Linked DNA regions of Anolis sagrei. The protein of the gene in region 3 binds, or shares a complex with, the protein of the main gene of each other region. Links are inferred from orthologs where the notes say so. Each region holds a gene or a part of one and is shown on either strand. Other genes may lie near its edges. The genes, in order: DDX42, SF3B4, SF3B3 and MFAP1.

Evidence for each region.
Region 1: the proteins of SF3B3 (region 3) and DDX42 are in contact, whole or in part, in a cryo-EM structure (PDB 7EVN), measured with the Homo sapiens proteins. The link is inferred for Anolis sagrei from reciprocal best matches to the Homo sapiens genes SF3B3 and DDX42. Residues at the interface, in NP_036558.3 of Homo sapiens: Glu159, Ala160, His161, Tyr211, His219, Val220, Val221, Arg222, Lys223; in NP_031398.2 of Homo sapiens: Lys145, Gly146, Ile147, Arg148, Asp149, Asp150.
Region 2: SF3B3 (region 3) and SF3B4 share a complex: the UniProt entries of both Homo sapiens proteins name them as parts of the SF3B subcomplex of the 17S U2 SnRNP complex. The link is inferred for Anolis sagrei from reciprocal best matches to the Homo sapiens genes SF3B3 and SF3B4.
Region 4: SF3B3 (region 3) and MFAP1 share a complex: the UniProt entries of both Homo sapiens proteins name them as parts of the spliceosome B complex. The link is inferred for Anolis sagrei from reciprocal best matches to the Homo sapiens genes SF3B3 and MFAP1.

Annotation. Positions count from the first base shown.
Region 1 is NC_090026.1:29,726,514-29,734,612, reverse strand, and holds the start of DDX42 (ATP-dependent RNA helicase DDX42), read left to right. Parts: upstream 1-4,903; 5' UTR 4,904-5,040; exon of another isoform or gene 5,041-5,044; intron 5,045-5,217; 5' UTR 5,218-5,295; intron 5,296-8,099. UniProt on the Homo sapiens protein: ATP-dependent RNA helicase that binds to partially double-stranded RNAs (dsRNAs) in order to unwind RNA secondary structures. Unwinding is promoted in the presence of single-strand binding proteins.
Region 2 is NC_090032.1:5,535,580-5,543,374, reverse strand, and holds the start of SF3B4 (splicing factor 3B subunit 4), read left to right. Parts: upstream 1-4,776; 5' UTR 4,777-4,844; coding exon 4,845-4,878; intron 4,879-7,472; coding exon 7,473-7,601; intron 7,602-7,795. UniProt on the Homo sapiens protein: Component of the 17S U2 SnRNP complex of the spliceosome, a large ribonucleoprotein complex that removes introns from transcribed pre-mRNAs.
Region 3 is NC_090028.1:506,474-514,424, forward strand, and holds the start of SF3B3 (splicing factor 3B subunit 3), read left to right. Parts: upstream 1-4,604; 5' UTR 4,605-4,809; intron 4,810-7,459; 5' UTR 7,460-7,491; coding exon 7,492-7,561; intron 7,562-7,951. UniProt on the Homo sapiens protein: Component of the 17S U2 SnRNP complex of the spliceosome, a large ribonucleoprotein complex that removes introns from transcribed pre-mRNAs.
Region 4 is NC_090029.1:22,573,596-22,581,466, forward strand, and holds the start of MFAP1 (microfibrillar-associated protein 1), read right to left. Parts: upstream 3,064-7,871; 5' UTR 3,060-3,063; coding exon 2,633-3,059; intron 926-2,632; coding exon 576-925; intron 1-575. UniProt on the Homo sapiens protein: Involved in pre-mRNA splicing as a component of the spliceosome.

The DNA.
Region 1 (8,099 bases), on a different chromosome or scaffold from region 3:
TTTTCTTTCTTTCCTTCCTTCCTTTCTTCCTTCCCTCTCTTTCCTTCCTTCTCTTTCTTTCTTTCTCCTTCCTTCCTTCTTTTTCTTTCTTTCTTTCCTTCCTTCTCCTTCCTTCCTTTTCTTTCCTTCCTTCTTTCTCTTTCCTTCCATCCTTCTCCTTCCTTCTTTCTTTCTTTCTCCTTCCTTCCTTTTTCTTTCTTTCTTTCTTTCTTTCTTTCTTTCCTTCCTTCTCCTTTTTTCCTTCCTTTTCCTTCTTTCCTTCTCATTCCTTCCTTCTTTTCTTTCTTTCTTTCTTTCCTTCTTTCCTTCCTTCCTTCCTTTTCTTTCTTTCACTATTCTTACTTACTAAAATCTCATACTACAGTAAGATATACATCTTTTTCAGGAATACCTCCGTTTCATTATTTATATGGTTATTTATTTTGCTATTCTTGAAATCTCAAAGTGCAATAAAGGAGATTAAAATATAAATAATTATAAAAATGTGATGGTGATAATGATATTTATTTTACCCCACTTTCCTCTTTTAAATTAGGCTTGAAGCTTTTTAAGGCTCACAACCTTAAAAACAATACAGCTATGGCCCTTTTTACACTGCTGTACAAAATCCAGATTACCTGCTTTGGCAGTATAGACTCCTGTAATCCAGTTCAAAGCAGATAATGTAGATTGTCTATTGTGTGATTTTTGGCCTTGATGGCCCTTCCACACAGTCATATAACCCAGAATATCAAGGCAGATAATCCATAATATCCACTTAACTGAGTTATCTAAGTCCACACTGCCATATAATCCAGTTAATGTGGGATTTTATACAGCTGTGTAGAAGGGACTTCATATAATACATTTCAAAGCAAATGTGGATTATCTGCTTTGATAATCTGGATTATATGACAGTGTAGAAGGGGCCTTAGAACCCACAACGTATCATCTATGGTTGGATTATATGAGTCTACATTGCCATATAATCCAGTTCAAAACAGATGATCTGAATTTTATATGACAGAATAGATCCAGCCACAGGGTGTAAACATAAACTGAAAAGCCTGATTTGCATTGATAGCTAGACATAGCTATCAGATAGCCTTTCGGACTACTGACAGCTATTTGTCTTATCAGTCCTACCCAATAGTTATTAGTGGCACAGATTCAAATTTCAATTAACCTCTGATCTATATGTGTGTGTCAAAGTATGTATGTATGTCAGTTTATGCTACAAAGGCTCTTACTTGGTTTGATGGATCTGGGCCAAATTTGGCACACACACTTTTCATGGTCCAATTTAAAATAATTGAGGGGTTTGAACCTTATAAAGTCAAGAACATAGGGAAAGAAAAGGAATGAAGGGGATTAGCTGCTGCCCCTGGTGGAGCCCCTGGTGGCGCAGTGGGTTAAACCCCTGTGCCGGCAGGACTGAAGACCGACAGGTTGCAGGTTCGAATCCGGGGAGAGGCGGATGAGCTCCCTCTATCAGCTCCAGCTCCTCATGCGGGGACATGAGAGAAGCCTCCCACAAGGATGATAGAAAACATCAAATCATCCGGACATCCACTGGGCAACGTCCTTGCAGACGGCCAATTCTCTCATACCAGAAGCGACTACCAGAAGCGGCTTGCAGTTTCTCAAGTTACTCCTTACACGATAAAAAAAAAGCTGCTGCAATGTGAAGTGGCCCTTTGTCACATGACTGAAGAAGAACAGGAGTGAAGCAGACTGGCTGCTGCTTGGTGATACGAATAAAAAAAAGTAACGATCTACACTGCCATATAATCAAGAATATTTACTTTGAACTGGTTTATATGGCAGGTTAGATGTATATAGAGAAGACAATTATGCTGGGGAAAGTGGAAGGCAAAAGGAAGAGGGGCCGACCAAGGGCAAGATGGATGGATGGCATCCTTGAAGTGACTGGACTGACCTTGAGGGAGCTGGGGGTGGTAACGGCCGACAGGGAGCTCTGGCGTGGGCTGGTCCATGAGGTCACGAAGAGTCAGATATGACTGAACGAATGAACAACAACAACAAGATGTATATAATCCACTTCAAAGGAGTTAATGTGGATTATCTGCTTGGATAATCTGGATTATATGACAGTGTAGAAGGAGACTAACTCTGGAGGCCTGGGTTTGAATCCCTGCTTTGCCATTGAAACCCACTGGCTGACAAGTCATGCTCTTTCAACCTCAGAGGAAGGCAAATCTCATTTGGACAAATCTTCCAAGCAAACTTTGTACTATGACCTCTTCCACTCAGCCATATAACCCAGAATTTCAAGGCAGACAATCCACAATATCTGCTTTGAACTGGGGCCCTTTCCACACAGCTGTATAACATCCACATTGAATTGGATAACATGGCAGTGTGGATTCTGATAACCCAGTTTAAAGCAGATATTGTGGATTATCTACCTTGATATTCTGGGTTATATGGCTGGATGGAAGAACCCTAGATTAGGACTTTAGGATTGCTACAATTGGGGAATAATTTGGGGCCCTTCCACATAGCCATATAATCCAGAATATCAAGTCAAATAATCGACAATATCTGTTTTGAACTGGATCATCTGTGGCCCCTTCCACACAGTCAAATAAAATCCCATATTATCTGCTTTGAACTGGAAGATATGGCAGTGTAGACTCAGGGCCTGTCCACACAGCCCTGTATTCCAGAATATCAAGGCAGAAAATCCCACAATATCTGCTTTGAACTGGGTTATCTGAATCCATATTGCCATATAGGCCAGGGTGGTCCATGCCTTAAGTCACCTCTAGACTGGATTACTGTAATGCACTCTACGTGGGGCTGCCCTTGATGGTCCAACGGGCGGCAGCCAGGTTGTTAACCGGGGCTCCTTACAAGGAGCGGTCAACCCTCCTGTTTAAGGAGCTCCACTGGCTGCCATTCATTTTCCGGACCCAATTCAAGGTGCAGGTTCTCACCTGCAAAGCCCTGAACGGTTTGGGACCCGTCTACCTGCGTGACCACATTTCTGTATACGAACCCACACGATCTCTTCGATCACCTGGAGAGGCCCTGCTCACGCTCCCACCTGCATCGCAAGCGTGAGAGGGCCTTTTCGGTGGTGGCCCCTTGACCCTGGAACTCACTTCCTAAGGACATCAGGCATGCCCCAACTCGGCAGTCTTTAGGAGGAGCTTGAAGACGTGGTTGTTCCAGTGTGCTTTCCCAGAATAATGATCCCATAGCACTTTGTCCTCCAAACGCCCCATCACTTTTTCACCCATGTCCAGCATTATTTTTAAATTTTAATTACATTTGGCCTACCCATAGATTTTAAAGTGTGTGGGCCTATTGTTAATGCTTATATTATTGTTTTATTGTTTTGTTTGATTTTAATTGCTTCCATTGTTGTTGTTATTGCTTGTATTGTTGTATTCTGGGCTCGGCCTCATGTAAGCCGCACCGAGTCCCCTGGGGAGATGGTAAGGTAAAGGTAGCCCCCTGACATTAAGTCCAGTCATGTCTGACTCTCCATTTCTAAGCCGAAGAGCCAGCGTTGTCGTAGACACCTCCAAGTTCGTGTGGCTGGCATGACTACATGGAGCGCCGTTACCTTCCCGTCGGAGCGGTACCTATTGATCTACTCACATTTGCATGTTTTCGAACTGCTAGGTTGGCAGAAGCTAGGGCTGACAGCGGAAGCTCACGCCGCTCCCCGGAATCGAACCTGTGACCTTTCGATCAACAAGCTCAGCAGCTCAGTGCTTTAACCCACTGCGCCACCGGGGGCCCCAATGGGGAGATGGTAGCGGGATATAAATAAAAGTTTATTATTATTATTATTATTATTATTATATATTCCATTTCAAAGCAGATGTGGGATTTTATTTAACTGTGTGGAAGGGGGTCAGATAACCCAGTTCAAAGCATATATTGTGGGATTTTCTGCCTTGATATTCTGAGATGTAGGGCTGTGTGTAAGGGCCCTGAATCCACATTGCCATATTATTTATTTATTTACTTTACTTGTATACCGCAGTTTCTCAGCCCAACAGGCGACTCAACGCGGTTTACAACAAGGATAAACAAGGTTTATAACAAGGATAAAATCAATCAACGATATACAATTTAAAACCATAAGAGCATAGTATACAATATTGACACAACAATAAACAAACACAATACATCTTATAACTAGAGTCGTGATCCAATTCGTCGTCCAAATTTCCATTCCTGTAATCATCACATTCATTGCACTGTTTATCTGAATGCCTGTTCAAACATCCAAGTTTTTAATCTTCTTCGGAACACCATTAGTGAGGGGGCTGATCTAACCTCCATAGGGAGGGCGTTCCACAGCCGAGGGGCCACCACAGAAAAGGCCCTGTCTCTCGTCCCCGCCAGCCGCACCTGTGAAGCAGGCGGGATAGAGAGCAGGGCCTCCCCAGAAGATCTTAGGGTCCTGGCGGGCTGATAGGCAGAGATACGTTCGGATAGGTAACTTGGGCCAGAACCGTTTAGGGCTTTATAGGCCAGCGCCTGCACTTTGAATTGAGCCCGGTAGCAAATCGGGAGCCAGTGGAGCTGGTGCAGCAGAGGAGTTGTGTGCTCCCTGCGCTCTGCTCCTGTTACTATCATGGCTGCCGAGCGTTGGACTAGTTAGAGCTTCCGAGCCGTCTTCAAAGGCAACCCCACGTATATAATCCAGCTCAATGTGGATTTTTTAGAGCTGTGTGGAAGAGGCTTTGAAGGAACAAAATAATAAAATGAAATACGGAAAGCCCTAATTAACCAGAGCTCTACACAAGCCTCCTCCTGCTTAAAAGAGCCCATAAGGAAATAAAGGCACGTGTGACTCTTTCTTCTGACTCTACGGTGCTGCGCCTACTTATAACGTAAGCAGCCGCCACTGTCGATGGCGTCACCACGGAGGAGGACAGCGCGAGCGAGCCGTTGCGCGGTGACGTCATCGCGTCACGGTGGCCAACGTCGCGCCCCGTTTCTTCCCTCGTAGTAAAAGAGTGGAGTTCTGAGGGACGGCGGGAGAAAGGGCGGAAAAAGGAAGTGTCACACAAGGTGGTGGGTAAGAAGCGGGGAAATAAACACTGGGGGAAAGGAAGTAAAGGCGCAGGAAGCGCTGCCAGGCCTTGTGGGGTCGCTGGGGAAGAAGGAAGGGGAAGGGGGCGGGGCTGCGGCCTAGCGGAGCCACAGAAGCCTTTGGAGCTGATCCCGTTCTGTTTGTCTCCCCTCCGCCAGGCGACCTGGTCTCTCGCCTCCAGAGGAATCCGCCGGACTCTTGCCAAAGGTGACCAAGTAGGCGTGAAGCTTGAGCAGGTATTGACACTGAGGCGACGGGGGAAAGCGGCTTCCTCCAGAGGTCCTGATCCAAGCGGCCTCAGGGTGCATCTCCATGACAGAATTAATGCACTCAGTTCTTGTGGGTTTTTTTCGTGCTATATGGCCATGTTCTAGAGGCATTTCTCCTGACGTTTCGCCTGCATCTATGGCAAGCATCCTCAGAGGTAGTGAGGTCTGCTGGAACTAGGAAAAAGGGTTTATATATCTGTGGAATGACCAGGGTGAGACAAAGGGCTTTTGTAAGTTGGGCTAGGTGTTAATCTTTCAACTGACCACCTTGATTAGCATACAATGGGCTGACTGTGCCTGGAGCAAACTAGTTCCAGTAGACCTCACTACCTCTGAGGATGCTTGCCATAGATGCAGGCGAAACGTCAGGAGAAATGCCTCTAGAACATGGCCATATAGCCCGAAAAAACCCACAAGAACTGAGTGATTCCAGCCATGAAAGCCTTCGACAATACATAGAATTAATGCAGTTTGACATGACTTGGAACTGCTATTGGAACTGTACGCTTTGTAAGCCTTCGCTGTCTAAGAATGCGGTTGTCTCACCAAATCACAACTCCCAGGATCCTCAAGCATTGTGCACTGGCAGTTATGGTGATGTGAAACTGCATTAATTATATAGCGTAAATCTGGCAAACTCCCCCCCCCCCCAGGTGTTTTGGACTTCAAATCCCACAATTCCTAACAACCTATGGCTGTTAGGAAGTGTGGGGGTTAAAGTCCAAAACACAAGGAGGGACCAAATTTGTCCATGCCTGGTGTAGATGCACCCTCAGACTTACCTTCATTCATGACTGCTCACCCTACACTTTTAGTATTTTGTCTGGGTTTTTTTTTGCTTTGTTCTGTTAGAAATGTAATATAATCAACTGGTTGCACTGACACTATAAATAAATAAATAAATAAATAACCCTACACTGAAAAGTGACTGTTATTCCAGTTTCATAGGTCATTGGGTAAATGAGAGAGCAAAGTATGCCTTTAATCATTTAGAATAGTGTTTCTCAATTTATTTATTTATTTCGAGCGCTTATACCCCACCCTTCTCAATCCCCTAGGGGGGACTCAGGGCGGCTTACAAAAGGCACAATTCGATGCCTAACAGTTCACAAAATAAAATATAACAACAACAACTATAACTAGTTAAAACAATCCAATTAATACAATAGCAGCAATAAAATCATCTTGTGGTCAATGTTCGCCAATTCATAAATCCATAGTCCATCCAGCATTATCCTTTCCTACTCTGGTTGTCATTGTCCTTTATCCATCTGCCAGCTTACCCAAAGGCCTGGTCCCATATCCAGGTTTTTAACTTCCTTCTGAAAGAGAGGAAAGAGAGGAGGGATGCTGATGACCTAATTTCCCCGGGGAGTGAATTCCACAGGCGAGGGGCCACCACCGAGAAGGCCCTGTCCCTCGTCCCCACCAGCCTCTCAAACTCAGCTCCTCCAAATATTTTGGACTTCAGCTCCCGCAATTCCTAACAGCTGAACCCGACCCTCCTGACAATGAGCCATCTAGCCATAGATGTAGATAGATATATATGATTCACACACACACACACAGATATTTATTTATTTATTTATTTATTTATTTAGTACACTTGTATACCGCTAATATCTCAGCCTGTGCGGCGACTCATTGCGGTTTACAACATATTTAAAAATACAATATTCACTTTAAAAATATAAAATAAAATATAAAAATACATACATATACATACATAGTATTGGGCCACCAATACAGACCGGAACATCTCATAGTTAAAGTCGTAATCCAATTCGTTATCCTTGATTGCTAGTCCATGATCAAAACATCATCACATCGGAATTAGTTGAAAACTTGCTCGAACATCCAAGTTTTCAGTTTTTTCCGAAATGCCATTAGCGAGGTGGCTGATCTTATTTCAGTAGGGAGGGCATTCCAAAGCCGGGGGGCCACCACAGAAAAGGCCCTATCTCTCGTTCCCGCAAGCCGCACTTGTGAAGCAGGCGGGATGGAGAGAAGGGCTTCTCCTGAAGATCTTAGGGTCCTGGTGGGCTGATAGGCCGAGATACGTTCGGATAGGTATGTAGGGCCAGAACCATTTAGGGCTTTAAAGGTCAAAGCCAGCACTTTGAATTGGGCTCGGTAGCTAATCGGTAGCCAGTGGAGCTGGTACAGCAGAGGAGTTGTATGCTCCCTGCGCCCTGCTCCTGTTAATACCATGGCTGCCGCCCGTTGGACTAATTGGAGCTTCCGGGCCGTCTTCAAAGGCAACCCCACGTAGAGAGCGTTGCAGTAGTCAAGGCGGGATGTAACCAGAGCGTGGACTACCGTGGCCAAGTCAGACTTCCCAAGGTACGGTCGCAGTTGGCGCACGAGTCTTAACTGTGCGAATGCTCCCCTGGTCACCGCCGAAACCTGGGGATCCAGGCTCAGCGATGAGTCCAGGATCACACCCAAACTGCGAACCTGTGTCTTCAGGGGGAGTGCGACCCCGTCTAACACAGGCTGTAACCCTATACCCTGTTCGGCCCTGCGACTGACCAGGAGTACCTCTGTCTTGTCTGGATTCAATTTCAATTTGTTCGCCCCCATCCAGACCGTCACAGCGGCCAAGCACCGGTTCAGGACCTCGACAGCCTCCTTAGTAGCGGGTGGGAAGGAGTGACAGAGCTGGACATCATCTGCGTACAGATGACACCGCACCCCGAAACTCCGGATGATCTCGCCCAGCGGCTTCATGTAGATGTTAAACAACATGGGGGACAGTATTGAACCCTGAG
Region 2 (7,795 bases), on a different chromosome or scaffold from region 3:
GGATGGATGGATGGATAGATAGATAGATAGATAGATAGATAGATAGATAGATCCAAGGCTGCATCCTCAGGCATAGAAACGGTACATTAAAAATTGATGCTGGAACCTAGGAATGTAATATCTCTCCCTCTCCATCTCTGTATATCATGTTTGCAAGTTTCCCCCTGTTTACCTTCTTGTTTTTGAGTGCCTGTGTATATATATATATCTCATTCAGGGGAAATATAGTTCCTCTGGTGCTGTATAGACATTCCATGGGGAAGTTTTCATGCTGCTGTTAGAGTTTTTTTTCATTTGGTACGTTGTTTATAAGCTTTAGTCCAAGAGCCTTAAGCAAAGGAGGCACAAGTGGTTTAAAGCAGCAATAATAATAATGATAATAATAATAATAATAATAATGCAACATTTTTGTATTTTTTTTCATGAGCTTTAGCTTAGGAGCCATAAGAAAAGGAAGCACAAGCTGTTTAACACTTATTATTATTACTATTATTATTATTATTATTACTATTATTATTATTAGTCATTTCATATGTTTTCATTCAGGAACCATAAGAGAAGGATGCTAATAATAATAATAATAATAATAATGACTATTATTAGACATTTCATAAGTTTTCGTTCAGGAGCCGTAAGAGAAGGACATCAGAAGACGCTTCCTTCTTGGGAGGAGAGCAATGTCCAGTCTCGATAAAATAGTGAAGAGTAGAGACATCAGACTGGCAACAAAGATCCGCCTAGTCAAAGCCATGGTATTCCCTGTAGTCACCTACGGATGTGAGAGCTGGACCTTAGGGAAGGCTGAGCGAAGGAAGATAGATGCTTTTGAACTGTGGTGTTGGAGGAAAGTTCTGAGAGTGCCTTGGACTGCGAGAAGATCCAACCAGTCCATCCTCCAGGAAATAAAGCCCGACTGCTCACTGGAGGGAAAGATACTAGAGACAAAGTTGAAGTACTTTGGTCACATCATGAGGAGACAGGAAAGCCTAGAGAAGACAATTATGCTGGGGAAAGTGGAAGGCAAAAGGAAGAGGGGCCGACCAAGGGCAAGATGGATGGATGGCATCCTTGAAGTGACTGGACTGACCTTGAGGGAGCTGGGGGTGGTGACGGCCGACAGGGAGCTCTGGCGTGGGCTGGTCCATGAGGTCACGAAGAGTCGGAGACGACTGAACGAATGAACAACAACAACAACAACAAGAGAAGGACACTAATAATAATAATAATAATAATAATACTCAGTTCTTGTGGGTTTTTTCGGGCTATATGGCCATGTTCTAGAGGCATTTCTCCTGACGTTTCGCCTGTATCTATGGCAAGCTTCCTCAGAGGTGAGGTTATAATAATAATAATAATAATAATAATAACGAAAGCTTATGAAATGACTAATTATTATTATTATTACTAACGTCCTTCTCTTATGGCTCCTGAAAGAAAGCTTATGAAATGACTAATAATAGTCATTATTATTATTATTATGACTATTATTAGTAATTTCATAAGCTTTCTTTCAGGAGCCGTAAGAGAAGGACACTAATAATAATAATAACAATGAAAGCTTATGAAATGACTAATAATAATAATAGTTATTATTATTATTATTATTAGTGTCCTTCGTTTACAGCTCCTGAAAGAAAGCTTATGAAATGATTAATAATAATAATAATAATAATAATAATTATTATTATTATCAATAATGTCCTTCTCTTATGGCTCCTGAAAGAAAGCTTGTGAAATGACTAAGAGTAATTATTATTATTATTACTATTATTAGTCATTTCATATGCTTTCTTTCAGGAGCCAACAATAATAATAATAATAATAATAATAATAATAATAATGCGTCCTTTTCTTGCGGCTCCTGAAATAAGGTTTATGAAATGACTAATAATAGTCATTATTATTATTATTATGACTATTATTAGTCATTTCATAAGCTTTGGTACAGGAGCCGTAAGACAAGGACGCTAATAATAATATTAATAATAATAATGACTATTATTAGTCATTTCATAAGCTTTCGTTCAGGAGCTGTAAGAGAAGGACGCTAATAATAATAATAGTAATAATAATAATAATAATAATTATTATTATTACTATTATTAGTCATTTCATAAGCTTTGGTTCAGGAGCCGTAAGATAAGGACACTTATTATTATTATTATTATTATTATTATTATTATTATTATGACTATTATTAGTCATTTCATAAGCTTTCGTTCAGGAGTTGTAAGAGAAGGATGCTAATAATAATAATAATAATAATAATGACTATTATTAGTCATCTCATAAGCTTTCTTTCAGGAGCTGTCAGAGAAGGAGTCTAATAATAATAATAATAATAATAATAATAATAATAATGATAAAGCAACAACAGTAAAAGCATAAGAATAAAATAAATATGGCATACATTTGCTTGTGGTTACGAAATTAGATAAATACTGCTCTCAGGTGCAATTGTAAATAGGCTGGAAATGGGATGGAAATAATAATGTTCTTGGCTTTCTATTTTAGTTGCATATCTTTGGCTTGTTCTCAGCTTTGACAAATACATTATTGCTGGATTTGGTTTTCAAAATGTTCTTTATGGGATAGATTGCTGTATATATATATATAGCTTGTTCCCAATGTTTACCTTTGCACAGCACTTAGGATGGGAACTGTGTGCTGATTTTTACACGTTTCTTGTGGCATGACGCACACGAGTAAAAACCCAGGTATCTTCTCCACAACCCATAATATAATTTTATATGGCAGGAGCTCCATTTCAGCCTCTATTAAAGATTTCAGTATTTTAAGAACTCCCAATGGTGCTCTCTTTGTTTCTTGTCTCTGAGTAGCCATTAAAAAAAATCATTTTTTGGGAACAAATGACTACCTGGCGCCCTGTGCAGCCCTTCTTCCATTGGGCTTACGTGAGTTTTCCGGGCTGTATGGACATGTTCCTGAAGCATTCTCTCCTGACGTTTCTCCCCCATCTATGGCAGGTTGAGGGGTCTGTGGGATAATGTCCAGGATGGGAGAAAGAACTCTTCTCTGTTGGAGGCAAGTGGGAATGCTGCAAGTGGCCAGCTTGATTAGCATCGAATGGCCTTGCAGCTTCAAAGCCTGGCTGCTTCCTGCAAGGGGGCATCCTTTGTTGGGAGGTGGGTGGGAGAAAGAACTCTTGTCTGTTAGAGGCAAGTAATGTTGCCAGCATCGAATGGTCTTGCAGTTTCAAAGCCTGACTGCTTCCTGCAAGGGGGAATCCTTAGTTGGGAGGTGGGTGGGAGAAAGAACTCTTTGTCTATTGGAGGCAAACGTGAATGTTGCCAGCATCGAATGGCCTTGCAGTTTCAAAGCCTGGCTGCTTCCTGCCTGAGGGAATCCTTAGTTGGGAGGTGGTTGGGAGAAAGAACTCTTGTCCATTGGAGACAAGTGTGAATGTTGTCAGCACTGAGTGGCCTTGCAGCTTCAAAGCCTGGCTGCTTCCTGCCTGGGAGACTCCTTAGTTGGGAGGTGGGTGAGAGAAAGAACTCTTGTCTATTAGAGGCAAGTGTGAAAGTTGCAAGTGGCGTCCTTGATTAGCATCGAATGGCCTTGCAGCTCCAAAGCCTGGCTGCTTCCTGCCGGGGGAATCCTTTCTTTGGAGGTGGGTGGGAGAAAGAACTCTTGTCTGAGGCAAGTGGCCACCGTGAGTAGCATCAAATGGCCTTGCACCTTCAAAGCCTGGCTGCTTCCTGCAAGGGGAAATCCTTTGTTGGGAGGTGGGTGGGAGAAAGAACTCTTGTCTGTCTGAGATAAGTGTGAATGTTGCAAGTGGCCACCTTGATTAGCATCGAATGGCCTTGCACCTTCAAAGCCTGGCTGCTTCCAGCCTGGGGGTATCCTTTGTTGGGAGGTGGGTGGGAGGAAGAACTCTTGTCTGTCTGAGATAAGTGTGAATGTTGCAAGTGGCCACCGTGATTAGCATCGAATGGCCTTGCACCTTCAAAGCCTGGCTGCTTCTTGCGAGGGGGGAATCCTTTGTTGGAAGGTGGAAGGAAGAAAGAACTCTGAGGATGCTTGCCATAGATGCAGGCGAAACGTCAGCAGAAATGCCTCTAGAACATGGCTCTATAGCCCGAAAAAACCCACAAGAACCTAAAGAACTCTTTGTCTGTTGGAGGCAAGCGTGAATGTTGCCAGCATCGAATGGCCTTGCAGCTTCAAAGCCTGGCTGCCGGGGGGAATCCTTTGTTGGGAGGTGTTAGCTGGCCCTGATTGTTTCCTGTCTGGAATCCCCCTGTTTTTTAAGTGTTGCTCTTTATTTACTGTCCTAATTTGAAGAAGTTTTTTTTCAAATACTGGTAGCCAGAAAGAAAGAAAAGGAAGGGAAAGATATATGTGGGAAGGCAAAGAAAGAAGGCTGCTGATTAGTTGAATAGCAACCCTAGTACTAACACTTCCGCCCTCTCTCAAAATGGCGGCGACGGTGTGCGTAGGTGTTTTTGCGCATGCGCACCTTTACTTTGCCTCCTCTTTCCTTTTAGTCGACGACGATCCTGCTTTCCTCGCCCTCCTTGTTCCTCAAAACACACAATAAACCGAGTGATTCATTTCATTCCTTTCCCCTTTTTGACAAAAAGAGTCGACGCGGGTTTTATTTTGCCAGGACACAAGATGGCCGACGGTGTTGACATTCCTCTGGCCCTCAGAAGAGCCACTTCCGGTCTAAAACGGAAGTTGCCCTGAAATGGACAGAAAAAGGGTGTATTGGGCCCAAGATGCTGCTTCGCCCTCACTTAGCGTCACTTCCGTCCTGGAACGGAAGTAGCCTTGCGTAGCGCTCTCCCGCCTCGGCGCCGGGGAGTGTGGCATCCAAGATGGCGGCGGGGCCCATCTCTGAGCGGAACCAAGGTAAAGGCAGGGAGGAGGAGGCCTGTTTGAGAAGGCCCAACAGCCCCAATGGCCTCCGAACGTCCCTCAAAGGAAGGAGAGAGGGGAATATTAGGGTCTGGAGAGTCTCTTCTCTGGTTTAGGCGCCAATAATGGCGGCTAGGCCAAACTGGGAAGGGGAAGCTCCAGCATTTCTGGCCTCCCTTTCCATTTCCAGCCAGGGTTTGTAGCTCTGTTGCACAAGGGCCCGCTCCAGCAGGAATTAAGCAACGAATTAACGAATCAGTGGGTTGTTGTAGGTTAGAAACAACATCATACGAAAGCTGACTGGCACAACCTGGGGATCACAACCAGACACAGTGAAGACATCTATCTGCCCTTGCGCTATGCTACTCTGCTGCTGAGTATGCATGCCCAGTGTGGAACACATCTCACCACGCTCAAACAGTGGATGTGGCTCTTAATGAGACATGCCGCATTATCACGGGATGTCTGCGCCCCACACCACTGGAGAAATTACACTGCTTAGCCTGTATTGCACCACCTGACATCCGCCGGGGAGTAGCAGCCAATAGTGAAAGGACCAAGGCAGAGACATCTCCAGCCCATCCTCTGTTTGGGTATCAGCCAGCACGTCAACGACTTAAATCAAGACATAGTTTTCTAAGATCTACAGAGACACTCGCTGGAACACCCCAGCAAGCGAGAGTCCAAAAGTGTCAGGCTCAAACCCAGCACCTCCATCCATGGGTGATACCAGATGAGAGACTCCCCCCGGGCACTCAGAAGACTGGGCGACTTGGAAGGCGCTGCACAGACTGTGCTCTGGCACCACGAGATGCTGAGCCAGTCTTAAGAAATGGGGCCCATTTTACCTGTCCGAACGGCCCAGTTTATCTGTCCGAACGTATTCTCCCCTATGAACCATCTAGGTTGTTAAGATTGTCTGGAGGGGCCCTGCTCTCAGTCCCACTGGCCTCTCAGGCATGTCTGGTGGGGATGAGGGACAGGGCCTTCTCGGTGGTGGTCCCTCGACTCTGGAACTCTCTCCCACTGGAGATCGGAACTGCCCCCTCCATTCTGTCGTTCAGAAAACAGGTGAAAACCTGGCTATGGGGTTTGGCTTTCGACGAGTGAATCAGTATTTCTGTGATTGGATAGATGACGATGAATGATGGACAACGAGTTCACTATGACGACTGACCATTGTTATTATGTGATTGCATTTTGCTGTTATAACGTTTTAATTGAATATGTTATATGATGTTTTTAATGATTGTTTTGTGATTTTATTGTTGGAAACTGGCCCGAGTCCCCCGATAGAGGGGAGAAGACCGGTATACAAAATTGCTAAATAAATAAATAGTCTGCTGGAGCTAGGTGGGAATGCAGTAATAATTTATTTGTTGTGTCAGGGCAACCAGTCAATTATATTACATTTTTAACAGAACAAAGCAAACAAACAGACAAAATACAACATTTGTGAGTTTGGTGGTTGATTAAATGTCTTTTGACCAGTATCTGGCCACTTGGAGTGCTTCTGGTGTTGCCGCAAGAAGGTCCTCCATTGTGCATGTGGCTGGGCTCAGGTTGCATTGCAGCAGGTGGTCAGTGGTTTGCTCTTCTCCACACTCGCATGTCGTGGATTCCACTTTGTAACCCCATTTCTTATGGTTGGCTCTGCATCTCGAAGTGCGGTCTGTTTGGTGCCTTCCAAGTCGCCCAGTTTTCTGTGTGCCCAGGGGGGGGGGGGGGGCTCTCTCATTTGGTATCAGCCATGGATTGAGGTTCTGGGTTTGAGCCAGCCAAAGTGTGGAACACATTTCACCACACTAAAACAGTGGATGTGGCACTTAATGAGACATGCCAAATTATTACGGGGTGTCTGAGCCCTACACCACTGGAGAAATTACACTGTCTAGCCGGTATTGCACCACCTGACATCCGCCAGGAAGTAGCAGCCAAGTGAAAGGACCAAGGCAGAGACATCTCCAGCACATCCCCTGTTTAGATATCAGCCAGCACGTCAACGACTTAAATCAAGACATAGTTTTCTGGGATCTACAGAGACACTCACTGGAACACCCCAGCAAGCGAGAGTTCAAAAGTGGCAGGCTCAAACCCAGAACCTCAATCAATGGCTGAGGGAAAGTAACGGCGCCCCATGCAATCATGCCGGCCACATGGCCCAGGAGGTGTTTACGGACAATGCAGGCTCTTTGGCTTAAAAATGGGAGATGAGCACCACCCCCAGAGCCAGAGTTGAAGGGGAATCCTTTATCTTTATCCGTGTGTCTGTATTTCATTGTTTCAAGGCATTGAATGTTTCCCTGTGTCAGTACATGCTGGAATCCGTCCTGAGTCCCTCGGGGAGATGGAGCGGAATACAAATAAAGAGTTGTTATATTATTATTATTAGCCAAGAATTCTGGGAGTTGGAGGCCCAAACAGCTGGAGGACTGTGGTTTAGGGATGCCTGATCTAGAACTAGACTTTTAATTGATGCAGCCTAGGATCACATCAAAGTCAGCTTTAGGTTCAAATGTAACATCAGCAAACAAGATTCATGAAGGCATTTGAGACTATAACTATTGTCCCTCTCTTATCTGCTGCAGATGCCACTGTGTATGTTGGCGGCCTGGATGAAAAAGTCAGCGAACCCCTCCTGTGGGAACTCTTCCTCCAAGCAGGACCAGTGGTTAACACTCACATGCCCAAAGACAGAGTCACGGGCCAACATCAAGGTAAGCAATTCCAGCACCTTTTCTCAATGTGCTGTGTTATGAATGGAGTAAATCCACCAGCTCTTAGACGTTAAGCAGGGGCAGGCCTGGTGAGTACTTGGATTGAAGGCTACCAAGAAATCTCAAGTTCTGTAGCTGTATTTCAAAGGTAAAATCACCTCTGTGTATTCCTTGCCCAGGAAAACCCTCTGAAA
Region 3 (7,951 bases):
GTTGGCAGAAGCTGGGGCTAACCGCGGGAGCTCACCCTGCTCCCTGGATTCGAACCGTTAGCCTTTCGATCAGCAAGTTCAGCACCTCAGCAGTTTAACCTGCTGCATCATCAGGTGGCCCTCTGAAGTGTAACTCCAGCCATATGTATGTGCATGTGTGTATATATACACACACTAGCCGTCCCCTGCCATGCGTTGCTGTGGCCCACATGGAGGTTCTGTGTGGGAGGTCTGGCCCAATTCTATCGTTAGTGAGGTTCAGAACGCTCTGTGATAGTAGGTGAACTATAAATCCCAGCAACTACAACTCCCAAATGTCAAGATCTATTTCCCCCAAACTCCATCTGTGCTCATATTTGGACATATTGAGTATTCCTACCAAGTTTGGTCCGGATCCATCATTGTTTGAGTCCACAGTGCTCTCTGGATGTAGGTGAACTACAACTCCCAAACTCAAGGTCATTGCCCACCCAAACCCTTCTAGTATTTTCTGTTGGTCATGGGAGTTCTGTGTGCCAAGTTTGGTTCAATTCTTTCGTTGGTGGGGTTCGGAATGCTCTTTGATTGTAGCTGAACTATAAATCCCAGCAACTACAACTCCCAAATGACAAAATCATAATTTTTGAGTGAAGGACATACATTGGGTTGTTAGGTGTGTTGTGTCCAAATTTGGTGTCAATTCGCCCAGTGGTTTTTGAGTTGTGTTAATCCCACAAACAAACATTACATTTTTATTTATATAGATATAGAATTATATATACACACACAGACACATACATATAGTCATGCATACATACACACACACACGTGTGTGTGTGTGTGTGTATAATCTTGGATGGCCTAGGGAAGGGCAAACACCCCTGTGGTGTTTCCTTTGCTGTCTGTGCCCTTGTTTGGAAGATTTCACCTCACTTTCTACTCTTGTAAGAATTGGATTTTGGAAATCTGCCTGTTGTGGAAACAAGGTTTGGGGCTAGAGCTTCATTGGAAACCCACTTTCCCCCTTGATACTGTGGATTTCCCTCCCTTCCTTCCCTCCTACTTCCTGTTCTCTCAGCCCCGTTGTTCTTAGCGAGGGCCCCTTCCTCCTAGCTGAAAAAAATCCCACGTTATCTGCTTTGAATTGGAATATGTGGCAGTGTGGACTCAGATAACTGTGGGATTTCCTGCCTTGATATTCTGGGTTCGATGGCTGTGTGGAAGGGTCCTAGGATGTTTGCGACTCATACAGAAATGGCATCCGATACCTTCTCGTCCCTGCCGGCTGAGCTCAATGACCGACTTGTCCAGCGAAAGGTAGCGATGGATGTGAGCGGCGGCTTGCTCGTAATCTTCGCCCCGCAGGGCCGTCTGAACTCCGTCCATGCAGAACTTCAGGTCCAAGATGTCATCCGCTCTCTGGATGGCCTGGTAGAGGCGGTTCTGCAAGAAGAAGAAGATAAAAAACTCGTGCGCCAGCTGTGCCCGTACCTTGGGAAGTCTGACTTGGCCACGGTAGTCCACGCTCTGGTTACATCCCGTTTAGACTACTGCAACACTCTCTACGTGGGGTTGCCTTTGAAGACGGCCTGGAAGCTCCAATTAGTCCAACGCTCGGCAGCCATGATTTTAACAGGAGCGGAGCGCAGAGAGCATACAACTCCTCTGCTGCACCAACTCCACTGGCTGCCGATCTGCTACCGGGCTCAATTCAAAGTGCTGGCGTTGACCTTTAAAGCCCTAAACGGTTCTGGCCCAACTTATCTATCCAAACGTATCTCGGCCTATCAGCCCACCAGGACCCTAAGATCTTCTGGGGAGGCCCTGCTCTCTATCCCGCCTGCTTCACAGGTGCGGCTGGCGGGGACGAGAGACAGGGCCTTTTCTGTGGTGGCCCCGCGGCTCTGGAACGCCCTCCCCATGGAGGTAAGATCAGCCCCCTCATTGATGGTATTCCGGAAAAGACTAAAAACCTGGATGTTCGAGCAGGCGTTCGGTTAACCCAGTGCAATAAATGTAATGATTGAAGGACTGGCAATTTGGACGACGAAACTGGATCACGTTTTTAGTCAAGAGATGTATTGGATTGTTTATTGATATATGTATTGTGGATTATGTTTTTATGCTTTTTAAACTGTATACTGTTGTTTGTTATAAGTTGTTGTAAACCGCGTTGAGTCGCCGGCTAGGCTGAGAAACGGCGGTATACAAGTATAGCAAATAAATAAATAAATAAAATAATGAGCCATCCCTGCAGTTGGCCTCCTGCAGCCAAGTGGGTACGGAGGAGATGACGGGGCGATTCCTGCCTGACAGGGTTACCTTGGCCAGATCCAGCTGCCGGACTTTGCTGCTGACGTTCTCTGCCAGGTTGCAGGTGAAGGTGATCATCCCGGCCAACTGCTTGGCATCGCCTTCGATCAGCTGCAGGTTGGGGCTGGAAACAGAGAGGAGGGAAAGAAGCCACTCTGGCTCTCACGGCGTCCACTCTCTCCGTCCTTGGCAATGTTAGAGCCTTGCACCCCTAAACACCCTTGCAAACTATGTGCAAAATATCTCACTCACCCCATGCGATGGAGGGAAGCCATCTTGCCCTCGATTGTGCCCTGCTGTTCCAGAAGCATCTCCAGCTCTTCCTCGACTGTGATCTGAAAACATACCAAGGGAATGGCTTTTTAGGTGTTCACTGTAACCAAAATAATAATAATAATAATAATAATAATAATAATGGCTGCATGGCCATCTGTCAGGAGTGCTTTGATTGTGCTTTTCCTGCATGGCATAATGGGTTTGGACTAGATGGCCCTTGGGGTCCCTTCCAACTCTAGGATTCTATTATTATTACTGAGGCTGGGTGGCCATCTGTTGGGAGGGCTTTGATGGCGCTTTTCCTGCATGGCAAGGGTTGGACTGAATGGCCCATGCGATCCCTTCCAACCCTATATTATTATTGAATATTATTGAGGGTGGTATTATTATTATTATTATATTATTATTATTATTATTATTATTATTATTATTATTATTATGCCTGCATGGCCACCTGCCAGGGGTGCTTCAATTGTGCTTTTCCTGCATGGCATCATGGAGTTGGACTGGATGGCCCTTGGGGTCCCTTCCAACTCTATTATTATTATTATTATTGCTGAATGGCCACCTGTCAGGGGTGCTTTGATTGTGCTTTTCCTGCATGGTATAATGGGTTTGGACTGGATGGCCCTTGGAGTCCCTTCCAACTCTAGGATTCTATTATTATTATTATTATTATTATTATTATTATTATTATTACTGAGGCTAGATGGCCTTTGGGGTCCCTTTGAACTCTATCATCATCATGAATATTATTGAGGCTGGACGGCCATCTATCAGGGAGGCTTTGATGGTGCTTTTCCTGCATGGCATAATGGGTTTGGACTGGATGGCCCTTGGGGTCTCTTCCAACTCTAGGATTCTATTATTATTATCATTATTACTGAGGCTGGATGGTCATCATGTCAGGGGGGCTTTGATGGTGCATTTCCTGCATGTCAGAAAGGGGTTGGACTAGTTGGCCTTTGGGGATCCCTTCCAACTCTATTATTATTATTATGGCTGAATGGCCATCTGTCAGGGGTGCTTTGATAGTGCTTTTCCTGCATGGCAGGGGTTGGACTGGATGGCCCTTGGGGTCCCTTCCAACTCTAGGATTCTACTACTACTACTACTATTATTATTATTACTGAGGCTAGTTGGCCTTTGAGGTCCCTTTGAACTTTATCATCATCATCATCATTACCATCATGAATATTATTGAGGCTTGACGGCCATCTATCAGGGGGGCTTTGATGGTGCTTTTCCTGCATGGCATCATGGAGTTGGACTGGATGGCCCATGTGGTCTCTTCCAACTCTATTATTATTATTATTATTATTATTATTATGGTTGCATGGCATCATGAGGTTGGACTGGATGGCCTTTGGGGTCCATTCCAACTAGGATTCTATTATTATTATTATTATTATTTCTGAGCCTGGATGGGCTATCTGTTGGGAGGGCTTTGATGGTGCTTTTCCTGAATGTCAGAAAATGGTTGGACTAGTTGGCCTTTGGGGGTCCCTTCCCACTCTATTATTATTATGGCTGCATGGCCATCTGTCAGGGGTGCTTTGATGGTGCTTTTCCTGCATGGCAGAAAGGGGTTGGACTAGGTGGCCTTTGGGGGTCCCTTCCAACTCTATTATTGTGATTCCATGACCCTCCCCCATATTCCTTCATTTCCGGGTTGGGCTGGATGCCCTCTGGGGACCCTTCCTGCCTCCTTTCCCACCTCTTCCGCGCAGAGGCGGCTGTAGGCGGCCTCGAGCTCCGTGAGGCCGGGGAGGGCGCGTATTTCCTCCATGGAGAGCGAGGCAGAGGCGGCAGGAGGAACTCCGGGTCCGCCAACCGCGCGGCCTTCCTTCCCCAGCGCCGCCATCTTGGCCCCGCGCCCCTCACCATCATCACTTCCGGTTTGCCGGTCGAAAATTGTCTCAGGCGCGCCGAGGGCAGCCCCGCAGAAGAGCGCAAGGAAGGAAGGACCCCTACTCAAAAGCATCACTTCCGGTTGGCCGGGCGGAAGTCGCTCCGGGAATTCGCTCAGGCGCGCCGAAGGCAGCCCCGGGCAGAGAGAGAGGAAAGAAGGAAGGACCCCTTTTGGCCTGCGCGCGCGGGAAGAGAGGCCGCCATGGCGCCGCTGAGGTGAAGCAGGCCGCGGCCGGGAAAATCCTTCGCCATCCTCGCCGTGCCGGGGCCCCAGCCACGCCGGGGAGACTCACAACGGGAGCCGGGGTCTCCCTTGGGCCGGGATTGGAGGTAGGCCCGGGCGGAGGAGCCGGAGAGGCCGAGGAGGAGGAGGAGGAGGAGGGCCGGGGCCTAGGCCGGAGCCTCAAGCCTGGCCGCCCAGAGGGATAGGAAGGCCTCCTCTGAGGGAAAGGCCTCAGAGTGAGTGTTAGCATAGAATACAATAGCTTTCACGCCTGGCCGCCGTGAGGGAAAGACCTCAGGGATTCCTCGCATATCAAAGGGAAAGGCCTCAGAGTGAGTGTAGGAAGGTCTTCTTTCTCAGAGCTGGAGAAGGGAGAAAGCCCCTACCACACGGGAGATGTGCACAAATAATAAGGAAAGGAAGGCCCCCTCTGAGGGAAAGGCCTCAGAGTGAGTGTTAGGAAGGGCTTTTCTCTCAGTGCTGGAGAAGGGAGAAAGTGCGTCTGGCCGCCCTGAGGGAAAGGCCTCAGAGTGAGTGTGAGCATAGAATAGAATAGCTTTCACGCCTGGCCGCCGTGAGGGAAAGGCCTCCGCAGAGAGACTTCGCATAGCAAAGGGAAAGGCCTCAGAGTGAGTGTGAGCATGGAATATAATAGCTTTCATGCCTGGCTACCCTGAAGGAAAGGCCTCAGGGATTCTTCGCATATCAAAGGGAAAGGCCTCAGAGTGAGTGTAGGAAGGTCTTCTTTCTCAGAGCTGGAGAAGGGGGAAAGGAGGCACATCAATGTGAAGCCATGAAGTTCAGCATAGCCATAACTCTAGAGTAAAAGTGAGCCTTCAGCCTGCCTGTCCTTGTCTTTGTCACCCTGCACCGTCTGCCAGATGGCAATAATAAGGCATTGTAAGGAGGGCCTTCCTTCTCAGAGCTGGAGAAGGGAGAAAGTAGGTAGGCCACGGTCCCAATGACACTCAAGCAATACTGGGTATACACACAAATACATAGAATATAATAGTGTTGGCCCATGCCTGATGTGCATTGTACAATGAGATTAAATGCTTTCCCCTTGCACACACTGCACAACCCCCAAAACCACATCAATGTGAAGCCATGGAGTTCATCATAGCCACAGCTCCAGGGTGAAAGCGATCCTTCAGCCTGCCTGTCCTTGTCTTTGTCACCCTGTGCTATCTGCCAGAAAGAAATAAGAGAAGAATATAATAGAATAGAACCGCTTTATTGTTATTGTGCATCTGGAATGGGCCTGGTGTTGGTCCACGCCTGATGCGCATTGTGCAACGAGATTAAATGCCTTTCCCTTGCACATCCCCTCAGGCCACATCAATGAAATGCTATGGAGTTCAGCATAGCCACAACTTAAGAGTAAAAGCTATCCTTCAGCCTGTCTGTCCTTTTCTTTGTCACCCTGCACTGTCTGCCAGGTGGCAATAAGAAGGCATTTCTTCCTTCTCAGAGCTGGAGAAGGGAGAAGGTAGGCAGGCCACAGTCTCAATAACACTCAAGCAATACTGGGTATACACACAAATATATAGAATAAATACTTTTATTATCATTGTGCATCAGGAATGGGTCTGATATGCATTGTACAGCGAGATTAAATCCCCCCCCCCTTGCACACACTGCACACTCCAAGGCCTCATTGGTGAAATGCCACAGAGTTTAGCATAGCCACAGCTCTAGTCAGTCAAAGCGATCCTTCAGTCTGTCTGTCCTTTTCTCTGTCACCCTGCGCCATCTGCCAGATAGCAATAATAAGAGGAGAATAGTATAGAACAGCTTTATTGCCATTGTGCTTCAGGCATGGTCCTGGTGTTGACCCAGCACATACCGCAAAACAACACACCTACCCCTCCACATTCTAATTGTTATGGCACATCGATGTGAAGCCATGGAGTTCAGCATAGCCACAGTTCCAAAGTAAAAGCTATCCTTCAGCCTGTCCTTGTCCTTGTCGCACTGCACCATCTGCCAGATAGCAATAATAAGAGAATAGACTAGTATAGAATAGCTTTATTGCCACCATGCATCAGGAATGGGCCTGGTGTTGGTCCATGCCTGATGTGCATTGTGCAACTAGATTAAATGCTTTCCCCCCACACACCGCAAAGACAACACACGCCCACCTCCACCGCACAGCCTCCAATGCCACATCAATGCAGGCTGGCAGCGGTTCCAGTGACACTCAAGCAACACTGTATATATGCACAAATACATAGACTAGAATAGCTTTGTTGTCGTTGTACATTAATAATGGGCCTGGTGTTGGCCCATGCCTGATGTGTATCGTGCAACAGGATTAAATGCCTTTCCCTTGCACATCAACGAAGTGCTGTGGAGTTTAGCATAGCCACAGCTCTAGGGTGAAAGCTATCCTTCAGCCTGCCTGTCCTTGTCTTTGTCACCCTGTGCCGTCTACCAGGTGGCAATAATAAGGCATTGTAAGGAGGACCTTCCTTGTCAGAGCTGGAGAAGGGAGAAAGAAAATTGATTCCTTCTTAGCATATCAAGGAGATCAATATATTCAGAGTGTGGTGTTTTCATGTTGACAAGATGCTTTCTTCCTCAAACCAAATATTGAGGGATTTGCAAAGTGGTGTTTTGATTTTGGAAATGCTTGTATGATGCATTCTTGCCTATGATCTCGATCCCCTTTTCTGAATCGGTGAGCATTCATTTCAATGTGTGGATCGATTCCATTCTATGCGTTTGTCTCTAATGGCTTGACTCTGTTGCTGGCAGGAGGACGGAGGTGAAGACCTCGAACCGGCACCATGTTCCTTTACAACCTGACCTTGCAGCGAGCCACAGGCATCAGCTATGCCATCCATGGCAATTTTTCAGGTGAGTGCCATTCTAACTGGTAGCATGTATGTGCAGCTAATGCAGGAGCCACCTCGTAAGACCCATATGTTGGACTGCGCTCCCTCATCTCTTTTAAAACCCTATACCAGATATATCCTACCTTGTTCATACATTTGGCCCGGCCATAGGTTTTTAAATCTTTGTGTGTTATTGTTTATTGGTTATTCTTTATATGCGATTTATATAAATACAAATACAGAGTAGCTAATATAGAAAATTGAATGACCTGACAATGGAATTGGACATTGCTTGAGAATAATGAGATGCTGATGATGTTGCTTTTATTGCTTTTGTGATGTCTTATACTATTTAATGTTTTTTATCTATATTATGTTTTATGTGTACTGATTTGTTGGAAACTGCCTTGAG
Region 4 (7,871 bases), on a different chromosome or scaffold from region 3:
GTTCACCTACATGCAGAGAGCACTGTGAACCCAAACACCAATGGACCAAACTCAGCATACATACCTGATATGCCAAAATTTGATTACTGGAGAGGTTTGGGAGGAACTGACCTTCCTTTCTGGGAGTTGTAGTTCACCCATAACCAGAGAAACTGTGACCTCCATCAATGATGGACCTGGACCAAACTTGGTACACAGAACCCCCATGAGCAACTGAACCTACTGTAGGAGTTTTGAGGGGACTGACTCACCATAGTGGGAATTGTAGTTTACTCTACAGCCAGAGAGCACATTGAACCCTACCAATAATGCATCTAGAGCAAACTTGCCCAACATAACAAACTTGAAGTACTGATGGAGGTTTTCAAGGTTATCCTGGCACAATATGAGTTGCAGCTCATCCACAACCTTATGCATTTTGTACAATTAAAACATTGATTTTTTTAAATAACCTGGGCAAAGCCAGGTACTCAAGTAAGTGTATATGTATGTGTGTGTATACACACTCACACACAAAAGATCAGAGTTTCTTCTGCCAAGAAAGAGCATACAGCACAACCCAAGCTGCCCTGTACCTCGTCATCCACTTCCTCCTCTTCCTCCTCGCTGGTGTCCTCTCGCTCCACATGCCAGTCCTCTCCCTCCACTTCGGAGTCGCTCTCCCCTATCACCTCCGGCTCCACAATCTTTCGGTGCCGCGCCAACCTCTCCTCTACGTCCTCTGAGATGCGGTTCTGGAGGCGGCGCAGGCGGGGGTCGCTGGCCAGCTCCTCCTCCTGCTCCTCGGGCTCTTGCTCCTGCTCCTTGGCCTTCTTGATGAACTGGAATTCCTCCTCCTCCTCATCCGAGGATTCCATGGGCGCATAGTCTGGGCGCTTCCCCGAGACATAGCGCTTCACCTTCACCTTCTCCATGGAGATCTCCCCTGAAGATATGAAGCAGAAAAAGAAAGGGTCACCAAATCATCTATCTATGCAATAAAGGTCAAAATATTTGTATATTTGTTAACATATGTATCAGCATATGTGTTTATCTATTTTTCCACAAACTCAGCACGCATACTTGCACAACCAGCTTAAAATACTGGTGACATTAGGGAGGCACAATAGTGCATGATGGGAACTGAAATCAAGGCCCTTCAGGGGTGCTGCCTGAGCCCCACTCACAACTGAAGGAGGGCATGGGAATTACAGCTGGCCAAACGTGGACCATGTGAGGGTTGCATCCTTCACCTGAACCATTTTAGAAATGATCCCATTATGCAGCAATATGTTTTCTAATGGGTCCATTCATAACAACCAAAACCAAACAAACAACTCTTCCTAATAAATAGGACTACAAAATATCTAACATGGGTACCACCGGGAACATAATAATAATAATAATAATAATAATAATAATAATAATTCTTACCCGCCCCTCCTCACGGCTCAAGGATCCCCTGTCTTTATTATGATTTTAGAGATTTGTAATACTGGTAGCCAGATTTTTTTATTAAATAAAGACTGGGGAGCTCCGGACAAGAAACAATCAGGGACAGCTAATCACCTGGAGCCCCTGGTGGCACAATAATAATAATAATAATAATAATAATAAAGCTTTATTTGTACCCCGCTACCATCTCCCGAAGGAAGAAGCCCCCGGTGGTGCAGTGGGTTAAACCCCTGTGCAGGCAGGACTGAAGACTGACAGGTCACAGGTTTGAATCCGGGGAGAGGCGGATGAGCTCCCTCTATCAGCTCCAGCTCCTCATGCGGGGACATGAGAGAAGCCTCCCACAAGGATGATAAAAACATCAAATCATCCAGGCGTCCCCTGGGCAACGTCCTTGCAGATGGCCAATTCTCTCACACCAGGAGTCACTCCTTACACGACAAAAAAAAATCTCCTGAAGGACTCGGTGCAGCTTACAAGAGGCAATGGGTTAAACCCCTATGCCAGCAGGACTGAAGACCAACAGGTCACAGGTTTGAATGCGGGGACATGAGAGAAGCCTCCCACATGGATGGTAAACCACCAAAACATCTGGGCATCTCCTGGGCAATGTCCTTGCATATGGCCAATTCTCTCACACCAGAAGCGACTTGCAGTTTCGCAAGTCGCTCCTGACATGACAAAAAAGCTAATAATCTCTCAACGAAGGATGCCCCCAGGCAGTAAGAAGCCACACCTTGAAAACTGCTAGGCCATTAAATGCTAATCAAGGTGGCCCATTGGAACATTCACACCTGCTTCAAACAGACAAGCGTTCTTTCTCCCATCCTAGACATTCCACAGATATATAACCCTAGTTTCCAACAGACCTCACAACTTCTGAGGATGCCTGCCATAGATGCAGGCGAAACGTCAGGAGAGAATGCTTCTGGAACATGGCCATGCAGACCAGAAAACTCACAGCACCCCAGTAATTCCGGCCATGAAAGCCTTCGACAACATAGTAACAGCAAAGAATAAGAATAGGAAGGGATTTTTAAAGGTGCTTCAGTCCAACCCCCTTCGGCCAGGACGGAAGACACGATCAAAGCTCTCACGACAGGTGGCCACTCGGCCTCTGTTCAAAGAAGGAGACCAGAAAGGAGGAGGCGCAGAAGAAGCAGGCCTCAGCGGGGCCCGAATATGGCCACGTTCTCACCTTTCTCATTTCGGACGGGGACGGCCCCCGCCGTGGACTGGATGGGCGGCTGCTTCATGAGGGCGCTGCTGGAGCCCGACATGGCGGCGGTAGAGGCCGTAGAAGCGGCAGAGGCAACACTAGGCACGGCGGATCCCTCTCGCTTCGCCTCTCGCGGGGAAACCCGGAACCGGAAGCTTCGTAGGTAAACAAGCCCAGAGGGAGCGCGTGACTTCCGCTCCCAAAGAGGACCAACGAGCGGAGCTGGATAGAGCGACTCATACCGTCTGCGCCCTCTGTCGGCGCGGAAGCGTCTTCCTGGGCCAGACTTCTTCCGGAAAAGGTGGCAGACGGGGATTTCCTCTGAGGCTGAGAGAGTGTAATCCAGGCCTGGACCAACTTGGGCCCTCCAGGTGTTTTGGACTCCACATCCCACAATTCCTAACATCCTCAGGGACCCTCCTTTCCCCTCTCAGCTGCTTAAGAACAGGCCTGGACCAACTTGGGTCCTCCAGGTGCTTTGGACTCCAACTCCCACCATTCCTAACAGCCTCAGGCCCTTTCCTTTTCCTTAAGCGGCTGAGGGGGGAAAGGAAGGGACCTGAGGCTGTTAGGAATGATGGGAGTTGAAGTCCAAAACACCTGGAGGGTTCAAAGAGCCTGAGGCTGTTAGGAATGGTTGAAGTTCAAGTCCAAAACACCTGGAGGGTTCAAAGAGCCTGAGGCTGTTAGGAATGGTGGGTGTTGAAGTCCAAAACACCTGGAGGGCCCAAAGAGCCTGTGGCTGTTAGGAATGGTGGGAGTTGAAGTCCGAAACACCTGAAGGGCTCAAAGAACTTAAAGCTGTTTGGAATTGTGGAACTTGAAGTCCAAAGCACCTGGAGGGCCCAAAGAGCCTGATGCTGTTAGGAATTCTGGGAGTTGAAGTCCAAAACACCTGGAGGGCCTAAAGAGCCTGTGGCTGTTAGGAATTGTGGGAGTTGAAGTCCAAAACACCTGGAGAGCTCAAAGAGCCTGAGGCTGTTAGGAATTGTGGGAGTTAGAGTCCAAAACACCTGGAGGGCCCAAAGAGCGGTTGTTAGGAATTGTGGGAGTTCAAATCCAGAACACCTGGAGGGCCCAAAGAGCTTGAGGCTGTTAGGAATGGTGGGAGTTGGAGTCCAAAACATCTGTAGGGCCCAAAGAGCTTGTGGCTGTTAGGAATGGTGGGAGTTGAAGTCCAAAACACCTGGAGGGTCCAGGTTTGTCCATGCCTGGTGTCATCATTGGAGCAGACGCTAATGATGCAACCCTCTCTTCCCCTTCTTTCATCTTGACAGACGGGAAGTTAACGTTGTTTGTTGTCCTAAAGGGCCTAGAAGGGGAGCTTTGTTTATCTTCTGATAAAGCGTTGTTTATCTTCACTAGGTCCCTCTTTGAGAGCCTCTGTGCAAACAAGGAAACCAAGGGCAGCCTGTGCTTTGATGACATGCTTCGCCTGTTGCCTCTGGCCCTTTGCCTGGGCCTCAGTGGCAAAGGGGCAGAGATGCAGAACAAATGCAGCTGGACACCAGGTCACTTGTTGGACCAATAGAGTCCCAAGAGTTACAGTTTTGCAAGGCCTTCCTGCCATAGCAAGTTATACTGCATCAACTCTACAAGGGAGATGCACCCTCCCATTGCACTCCGCTGTTTAGGCAATTCTGGTCCCACAAACTTGGCTGCTATATTGTCAAGATCAGGAAGACCAGACCAAGGGCAGCGTTCATACTGCAGCTTCCTTGGTTAAGGGAGTCCAGCAGAGATTGTATTATTATCTGAGACTTTTCTTTTTCAGTTTTCAAACGCTAGTAAAGGTAAAGGTTTTCCCTTGACATTAAGTCTAATCGTGTCCAATTCAGGAGTGGTGCTCATCTTTGTAACTCATTACCTGGTGAGATTAGGCAAGCCCCCACTCTAGCAATCTTTAAGAAAGATCTGAAAACCTGGTTCTTCAGTTGTGCCTTTAGAGAGTGACCATTCATCCCATTTCTGTCTGTTCCATCTACAGTGTTGTCCTTATGATGCACTTTCTCCCGTCCTAAATTGAAGGCCTAACCGTACTGTTCGTTCTTTTTGGGCTCCTCTCAAATACACTTTTTCTACTCCTACCTCATTCAAGGTTTTATCATTTTATCTTGTCCATTTGGCCTGCCCATTGTGTTCGATTTTCTATTATGCTATTTTGCTTTGTTTACTTTATTTTGCCACTGTATGTACTTTATTGTGATGTAATTTTTGTTGTTGTATTATGCACTTTATTTTGCTGTATTGTATCTTTAGGCTTGGCCTCATGTTAGCTGCCCTTAGTCCCCTTCGGGGAGATGTGAGGTATAAATAAAGATTATTATTATTATTGTTATTATTATTATTATTATTATTATGCATGGAGCGCCTTTATCTTCGGGTCGAAGCAGTACCTATTCATCTACTCACATTTACATGTTTTCAAACTACTAGGTTGGCAGAAGCTGGGCCTAACAGCAGGAGCTCACTGCTCTCTGGATTCGAACCGCCAACCTTTCAGTCAGCAAATTTAGCAGCTCAGTGGTTTAACCCGCTGTGCCACCAGGAGGCCTTTTTCAAACTTTATTGAATTAAAAAAATGTTTTAACATAAATATATGTTAACACTTGGATTAAGAGGCATTTTTCATATTAATATTATCATTCCTTTTATAAAGCAAAACAAAACTGCAGTAAGTTCTACTTTTCACTTGAACATATGACCCGTTAGATATAGCTGTGTAATTCAATTACTCAGTTTCACTGTGGTGAAAGATGGAAAATTATGAGCAATGTTATATTAGTTTCCAGGGTACAGGATTATGTTTAATTACAACTAGAACATGCATATTAGTTAATATAGATGACTTGCCCATGGCATTTTGTCAGTCAAATTATTTTGTCACACGGATTAAAGAATTGACAAGATAATCTAAAAATAACAGTATCAAACTATAATCCAACCACTTCCTTTAGCCTCATGGTAGAGCCATCCCTGGGTGCTCCCTCATGTGTGGTCATTTATCTGACACTTTTAAGGAACCAACAATTGGATGGAAAACTGCTTTTGACTTTTCTACCACTGCGCTATAGAGAGTGTTCTAACTTATTGCATCTGCATACGGTTTGCCAATTGCACAGCGGGAGATACGAAGGCATTCCAGAGTGTTACTTCTCACTCCTGCCCAGAGTATTATGGGTTTCCCTTTTTCTCTCCTCTTTGGAACAATGTCATACTTCCAGCTGCCTTAAGAAAGCTCAGAATATTCTTAAGGATCCATCTCACCCTGGATATTCTTCTTTTTCGTCTAATTATTATCATCTGAAGAGGTGGGATAGGATGAGCAAAACAAGGACAAATAGGCTGAGAAAGAGGTTTTATCCCAGGGCTGTGATTCTTTTAAATTCTAGGGTTCCACACTGTGGAAGAATGGTGCTTTGTTTTTGTCATCATACACATTTAATGGGTATGGGGGGTGGCATTAAATTTTGTTGTATGATGTACAATGACAATGAAGTCATTTTATTCTATTCTTGACCAGACCCCTGGCCTCATGGCTTCCTCACATCAGGGGCTCCAGGTGCCCAAGGGATGGATCAGAGCTGGCCACAGGAAAAGAACATGGAGTTTTCTCCTTGCACGTTCTCAGAAAGAGCAGGTCGGATCAGAAAGGGGAACAGGGCTGCCTTCTATCCATGTTCAGGTGGCATTGAGGAGATGGGTGGGCAGCACTGACCTGCACTAGTAAGGATTCAGAGAATATCCCTCCTGGAAGTCTTTTGTCAGAGGAGTCATAATGAGAACTGAAACAATAACAGAGAGGTGGACACATTGTCCTCAGGTGCATCACTTTGTGGATTAGGGAAAATGCCAGCGAGATAAGAAGGCCAGGAGAAAGAGGCGTTAAAGGTTGCTGTCTCAGAAGGTCCCAAAGAAAATGACCTAAGTTCCCAGAAGGTGATCTTCCTTGGAATCACTTGGTCCTCCAGTGGGCTGAGTGAAAGGCTGGGGCACTCTCTCAGCCACAAGGGCAAACCTCCTCTGAACAAATCATGCCAAGTAAACCCCATGATGAAGTCTCCATAAGTCAGTGACAACACAAAGGCACCAAACAACAACAACACTCATTGGATCCCATGCGAGTCAATGCTATGTCCAAACATCATGGGAGCCTTGTGAGGACAGCAGGCTGGTCATTTTCCTTGTGTCATCTCCCCTTCCAATCTGGCCATAAAAATGGTCACATGCGTATGTATTCACATTTGTTTGTTTCCCCCTTTTTTTATAGCATTGCCTTCACTTTTTCACTTTCAATTTCCCCTGGACCATTGATTAGCAGACTTGCAGAGCTTTGATGTTGCCATTTCGAAGCTAATTCTCACCTAAACCTTTTTTTCCCTGGCATACATAATTCTGAAAATAGGGCCTGGCCTAGTTTCTAATAAGGTTGGCCCCTTGGAAAGCAAACTTATCTTAGAACCATCTTGCATTTGGGTTAAAGATCAGAATGAGATGTAGGTGTTAGATCTGTGGCTTGGATCTAGAATCAAATGAATTCTTTTTGTTCTAAAACTTTTGCAAGTTTGGAAGAACAGTTCACCTTTTGGATGTTGATTAGGGACACTTACTCCTATTACTAACTTTCTAAACGATAGCAGTTTTAGCCCTTTGGATGCCCTGAAAAGTTTTGCCCTGCTTTTTGCATTTTAAGCTGTGTGTGGGAGGAAGTCAGATGGCTGAGTGACCTATGGTTTAACTTTGGAAAGGCAAGAACAGTGAGAAAAGCCACGGAGGAGGAGGAGGAGTTGTGTGTGGAGGAGGGCAATGAGCCAAGTGCTTTGGCGGAGCTGGTTTTGTCAGATACGTTCTTCTTAGGTGACATTTAACATCACTGGCGGATTATGAAGTGCTCAAAGAGGCTTCCAAAGTATACTCTTACTACCATTGTACAATTAGATTGTGCAAGTATTTAAAAATAAAACATGTCATGTTCCCTACTACCTTCAACCTCTGGCCTGTGTTTGTCTTTGGAGCCTAAGGATGGTTTGAACCCACTGTGAAATAGTGGAAGGATTTGTCTTTTTGTTTTGTAATTCTACATATATTGCAATGTGCATTGGGGATGGTTTTTAATTTCGTTGTACGATGTACAATGATAATAAAGTTACTCTAATCTATATTGCAGCACACACTGACCAGGTTCTGCAGTAGGTTAGGCAAAGAGCCCACAGCACAG